Linked DNA regions of Sus scrofa. The protein of the gene in region 1 interacts with the protein of each later gene in a biochemical or structural test. Links are inferred from orthologs where the notes say so. Each region holds a gene or a part of one and is shown in the gene's direction. Other genes may lie near its edges. The genes, in order: COPS7A and COPS6.

The links.
Region 2: the proteins of COPS7A (region 1) and COPS6 form a complex in vitro, tested with the Homo sapiens proteins (3 studies listed by BioGRID, with this or other methods). The link is inferred for Sus scrofa from reciprocal best matches to the Homo sapiens genes COPS7A and COPS6.

What each region holds. Positions count from the first base shown.
Region 1 is NC_010447.5:63,972,057-63,974,782, reverse strand, and holds part of COPS7A (COP9 signalosome complex subunit 7a), read left to right. Parts: intron 1-9; coding exon 10-85; intron 86-319; coding exon 320-408; intron 409-2,049; coding exon 2,050-2,252; intron 2,253-2,726.
Region 2 is NC_010445.4:8,001,255-8,004,854, forward strand, and holds the start of COPS6 (COP9 signalosome complex subunit 6), read left to right. Parts: upstream 1-1,447; 5' UTR 1,448-1,486; coding exon 1,487-1,550; intron 1,551-1,762; coding exon 1,763-1,888; intron 1,889-2,098; coding exon 2,099-2,230; intron 2,231-2,846; coding exon 2,847-2,935; intron 2,936-3,032; coding exon 3,033-3,095; intron 3,096-3,404; coding exon 3,405-3,452; intron 3,453-3,528; coding exon 3,529-3,600. UniProt on the Homo sapiens protein: Component of the COP9 signalosome complex (CSN), a complex involved in various cellular and developmental processes.

The sequences.
Region 1 (2,726 bases):
TTCTTGCAGCTGGCTGAGAGTGACTTCGCTTCCACGTTCCGGCTGCTCACGGTGTTTGCTTATGGGACATACGCTGACTACTTAGGTATCCGGAGGGGCCGGAACTCTGGAGATGGGAGATGGGCAGTTTATGTAGAAGAAATTCTTGAGATACCTGACTTAGATCCCATAGGTACAGGGTCAAGGTCAAGACCCAAATTGGCACAGAAAACTCAAAAAAAAAAAAAAAAGAAAAGAAAAGAAAAATCAAGAGGAGAGAGGCTAGGGCTTCCCACACAAGTGAAATCAGGATTTTCTATACCTTGTTTTTTTTTTCTAGCTGAAGCCCGGAATCTTCCCCCACTCACAGAGGCTCAGAAGAATAAGCTTAGACACCTGTCAGTTGTCACCCTGGCTGCCAAGGTCAAGGTGAGTGACAGACCCCCCAGTCCTGAGCCAGGGAGCACTTTTTTGTGTCGGCTTCACAAGGGCCCATCTGAAGGGAATTGCACTGGGACAGCTTTGACCACAGTGGTGCTTCTTCCTGTTTCCCCACATTCCTCCAAGGTCTGTGTCTTACTCTGATACCTGTGGCCCTTTAGGTGGAACGTTATTCTCCCAGCTTTCTATTTTGTTTTTCTTTTTTTTTTTTTTTTTTTATTGCTTTTTATGGCCACACCCACGGCATATGGAGGTTCCCAGGTGAGGGGTCGAAGCAGAGCTACAGCTGCCTGCCTGTGCCACAGCCGCAGCAGTGCAGGATCCGAGCAACATCTGTGACCTGCACCACAGCTTATGGCAACGCTGGATCCTTAACCCACTGGGCAAGGCCAGGGATCGAACCCACAACCTCTTGGTTACTAGTCAGATTCATTTCTGCTGTGGCACAACCAGAACTCCTCTATTTTGTTTTTCAACCCACTTATGTTCTAAGTAAAACATCTTTTGTGTGTCAGGTCAGAATAGCAGCTAGGATGCCACTCACTGTGTTATTCCTCAGCCCATTCCTCCCACTGTATGAAGTCCGTGGAAGCAGCTGCAGTGGCCAGAGCTGGGACACACTCGCTCCTGGTGACGTAGCAGGCTTCTATTTGCTTGAATAAAAAATACATAACCCAGAAGCATCTTTGTATTTCCTGTTGGGTTCCATTCTTGTTAACTGTTTGCCCATCTGCATCTCCCAGTTGTTCCCTGACTCTCCCATCATCCCCATGGTTTGGCTTAAATCAGGCTCACTGCCTCTTTGGAAGGAGACCGTGTATAAATGATAAACAGAAGAGCTCCAGCCTCTCCTCCACCACAGCGTCCCGTAGGTCAAGCTCGTCTTGACCACATCCGTGTACTGTCCTGAGCTGAGCCAGAGGGTTGACACCCAGGCAGATGTCACCCTGTGGTGGGCTGGGCATTGAGGGGAGCATAAATGTTTTCCTTAAGATTGTCCTTTTTGGAGTTCTCCAGTAGCCTTGCAGGGTAAGAATCAGGCGTTGCCAGTGCTGAGGTTTGGTTCCCTGCTGTGTCTCGGGTTTGATCCCTGGCCCAGGAACTTCCCCATGGTGTGGGTGTGCCTGAAAAAAAAGTTGCAGAAAGGAAAATAATATTAAAAAAAAAAGTTCCCATTGTGGCTCAGTGGCATAAGAACCTGACATAGTGTCTGTGAGGATGCAGGTTCAACCCCTGGCCATGCTCAGTGGGTTAAGGATTTGGCGTTGCCACAAGCTGCTGTGTAGGTCGCAGATGCGGCACGGATCCGGGGTTGCTGTGGCTGTGGTGTAGGCTGACAGCTGCAGCTCTGATTTGCCCCCTAGCCTGGAAACCTCTGTGCCACAGGTGGGGCCGTCAAAAAAGACAACAACAGTCATAAATACATAAATGTGAACGATTCTCTTTCTTAGGATGTTATTTATCAGGTGGGAATACTTTCATTTATTTTGCCTTAGAACCTGCCTTTTACGGAAAGTGATTGAGGAGGAGGACTGGAGGGCGGGCAGTGGGGGAAGGAGGGAAGAAGAATCTTGGAAGCCCTTCTCTGTGCGGAACCTCACAGACCGCAGCCCGACCTCCGGGCCCCAGTGTATCCCATATGCAGTGCTGCTGGAGGCCCTGGCCCTGCGGAACGTGCGGCAGCTGGAGGACCTGGTCATCGAGGCCGTGTACGCCGACGTGCTTCGCGGCTCCCTGGACCAGCGCAACCAGCGGCTGGAGGTTGACTACAGCATCGGGCGGGACATCCAGCGCCAGGACCTCAGTGCCATTGCCCGAACCCTGCAGGAGTGGTGAGACCTGGGTCCCGGCACTGTCCCTCCTCTGCTGGCCCCAAGAAGGGAGGGCTGCTTTGGTGGAGGCCGGGGGTGGGGGGGGGGGGTGGCTGGGCGGCAGAGGCACCCCCCAGGAGCCTGAAGAGGAACTGGGAGGAGGAAGGGGGGGTCCTCTTGAGGGGATCCTCCCTGGGGGGTGGGCCAGGCAGGATGCAGTATGACCAGCGCTGTCCACAGGCCTTGGGCCTCTCTCACTTCTGTTTTCTCTGTGTTCTTATCTGACTTGGGTTCGTTAACACAGCTTCTTTTCTTCCTCTGGAGCACGTCCTGCCCCGTTGTGGGTTTAGTTCCTCGCCCATCACTCCAGGCACTTGCTTTCTCCTCCCTTAGCCTACCGGAGTGTCCTTAAGGCTCCCGGGGATCTCGTTGAGGTGGTTTCCACGGGGCCAGGCGAGGCTTCTAACGCAGACAGGGCTCCGGCTGCCCGGGTCT
Region 2 (3,600 bases), on another chromosome or scaffold:
TGAGAGCTCCTCTTTCTTTATTCTTTCCTTTGTTTTTTGTGTTTGCTTGTTGCTTTGGAGAGGAACGCTTTCTTAACTTCCCTTTGGCCAGGAGATCTCCCTCCCTGCAGGATTTCTCAGGCCTTTACTTTGAGAGTTGCTGGTCGTTTAATTTCCCTTTATGCAGGCTCTTAAATGGAGAGATAGCTTAATTCGCACCAGTCACTATTATCACCAGAAAACATCTCTGGGCAGCAGAGTAGGCTCCGCAGGTAAAGGTACAGGTCTCTACCTGCTTTTTAGGAGCTAACACTTGGGTGTGTTACAGACACACCTAAAGAACCAGCCAAATTGTAGGGGCGACAAGACAGGGTAAAGGCAGTGTACACAACTTGCTCGGGTGTAGGGGTGGGGAGAGGGCTGGAGTGGGCTAGGTTTGCCGGAGGTGGTTTTTTGTTTTTTCTTTTTAGGGCCGCACCCTTGGCATATGGAAGTTCCCAAGCAAGGGGTCGAATCCGAGCTGCAGCTGCTGGCCTATGCCACAGCCAATGTCAGATCTGAGCCCAATCCGTGACCTCTGTTGCAGCTTGTGGCAACGTTGTATCCTTAACCCACTGAGCAAGTCCAGGTATCGAACCCACATCCTCATTGATACTAGTTGGGTTCTTAACCTGCTGACCACAACGGGAACTCCCAGAAGTGAGTTTTGAAAGACTAACGGAGACGGAGGGTAGAGGGAAGTTGGGAGGGGTTAGAAAATGCCAGGGATGTTCTCAGTGCTGTAGGTAATGAGGTGGAAGGAGGAAAGAAAGGATGTGTAGACCAAGGCACTCAGGACCAGGCTCCACTGGCAAACCATTCATTCACTCAAAAATCATTTATGGAGTTCCCCTGTGGCTCAGCGGGATTTGAACTTTTGTGGCTCTGATTACAGCTGTGGCGTGAGTTCCGTCCCTGGTGCGAGTACTCCTGCATGCTGTGAATGCGGCCCGAAAAAGAAATCATTTAGGTGCCCATATGTCAGGTAGTTTTGATCACGTGTTACAGTGATAAAGGCGACAGAACGCCCTTCGGTGGGGATGAGTGAGACGTGTGCAAGGAACAGACACGAGAGCCAATGTGGCTGAAGCACGGCGATCAAAGGGCAGAAAAGCAGAGGCCAGGGCTGGCTGGCGGGCAGGGGTCTGATCTTACAGGGTCTTGCAGGTGGTTAGGAGTGTGGCTTTTACTCTGAGGGCAACAACATGAAGTTTCATTCATGCTGCAGCAGCCTTACAAAGTAGGCAGTCTAATCCCAGTATACTTTAGGACGATCAGGGTGCGGTTAAGTAAGTTGTTCAAGGTCAGAGGCAGGCGAGAGGGCTACTAAGACCTGCCGGCTCTCCCCGACCCAGGGCTGCCTGCGCGGGTCTGGGCAGGCGCGCGCCACGGCCGCACTGAGCATGCGCTGCTGCCTACGGAAGCCGGCAGGGAGGGGGCGGGGCCGACACTGGCGGGCGCGGGGGAAATGGCGGCGGCGGCTGCGGCGAACGGGACCGGAGGGAGCAGCGGGATGGAGGTGGATGCAGCAGGTAACCGACCGGGAGGGAGCGGCTTCTGGAGACGCCCTTGGGGCGCGTCAAGGCCTTCCTGGACTCCCGGGGAAGTCGGGAGGGCGGGTCAGCGGCGCGTTCCCTGGGATAACTTGCGGGAGGGATGTATGGCCCGGCTCTGCTGGCTTCCCCTCCCATCTCCCGGGGGGAACGTGGGACCCGGACTCTCACCCTCTCTTCCAACTGCTTAGTCGTCCCCAGCGTGATGGCCTCCGGAGTGACTGGCAGTGTTTCAGTCGCCCTTCACCCCCTCGTCATTCTCAACATCTCAGACCATTGGATTCGCATGCGCTCCCAGGAGGGGCGGCCTATGCAGGGTGAGTGTTCGGCGTAATTCTCTGGCCTTCTTTTCCTGGTCATCTCCCCCAAACGGTGGTCCTTCCCTTTCCTTTGCTGAAGCCAATTCTTCCGCCGCAAACCACCCGTTTCCCTAGTACTGGGTTCACTTGACCTCAGACCCTCAGGCTATACTGATTTAACTAAGTTTCAGGATTCTTTACCCTCACCTCTTGTGTCCTCTCCTCCAGTGATTGGGGCTCTGATCGGGAAGCAGGAGGGCCGAAATATCGAGGTGATGAACTCCTTTGAGCTGCTGTCCCACACCGTGGAAGAGAAGATTATCATTGACAAGGAATATTATTACACCAAGGAGGAGCAGTGTGAGAGGGGAATAGAGGTGGGGGAGAGGAGTGGGAGTTAAAAAAAGAAAGAAAATCAGAATAGGGAAGGTGGAGAGGGTTGGGGGGAAAAAAATAAACAGGAGATGAGCAGAATGGAGGCCAAGTGACGAGAAGGTAGCTGTAGAGATCTTTAAAAAAGAACATATTTGGGAGTTCCCGTCGTGGCTCAGTGGTTAACGAATCCGACTAGGAACCATGAGGTTGCGGGTTCGATCCCTGGCCTTGTTCAATGGGTTAAGGATCCAGTGTTGCCATGAACAGTGGTGTAGGTCGCAGGTGCAGCTCGGATCCTGCATTGCTGTGGCTGTGGTGTAGGCCGACGGACACAGCTCCAATTGGACCCCTAGCCTGGGAACCTCCATGTGCTGCGGGAGCGGCCCTAGAAATGGAAAAAAGACCAAAAAAAAAAAAAAAAAAGAACATATTTGGTTACTTCCCACAAAGTAAGGAGAAGATAGAAGAGATGACTTACTCTAAACTGAGCCGGGATGGGATGGGGAGAAGCTGGTTAAAATCCACCAGGAGCTTCAAATTAAAGAAGCGATATTTAAAAAAAAAAAAAAAATACTCTGTGCTCTGGCCCTTTCCTCCTCAGTTAAACAGGTGTTCAAGGAGCTGGAGTTTCTGGGTTGGTATACCACAGGGGGACCGCCTGACCCCTCTGATATCCACGTCCATAAGCAGGTATACACACTTCCGTTTGCACGTTGGGGCGGAGGACAGAGGATGAGCGGGAGAAAAATGGGCCCTGGCACTCAGGTGCATCTGCCCCCTCTTCCAGGTGTGCGAGATAATTGAGAGCCCTTTGTTTCTTAAGTTGAACCCTATGACTAAGCACACAGATGTGAGTAATACTGAGCCCGTGGCTACTTTGTCCTGCTTGTCCATTGCTATGCCTACCCAGATTTTAATTCTCATCCTGTTTTTTACTGTATCGCCTCTGTTGAATTGACTCTCCCTTCTCTTTACCAGCTGAGACTTTGGGTGTCATTTAACCTCTAAACTGCATTTCCCCCATGTACTAAAATGGGATAATTCCTACTTGTAACTTGGGGACATAGAAAAACGGAATGCGAAAGGGCCAAGCCTGGTTTGGGGCCCTTCAGGTACGTGTGCTGTTACTAAGAGCTCTTCGCCCATCTCCTCTTTACAGCTTCCGGTCAGCGTCTTTGAGTCTGTTATAGATATCATCAATGGAGAGGTAATGCCATACCCTTCAACTCTCAGACCCTGCTCCCGGTGTTTCCTGCTTTTGACTCTCTCTCTGTGCCCTGTAGGCCACGATGCTTTTTGCTGAGCTGACCTATACCCTGGCCACAGAGGAGGCTGAACGCATTGGTGTAGATCAT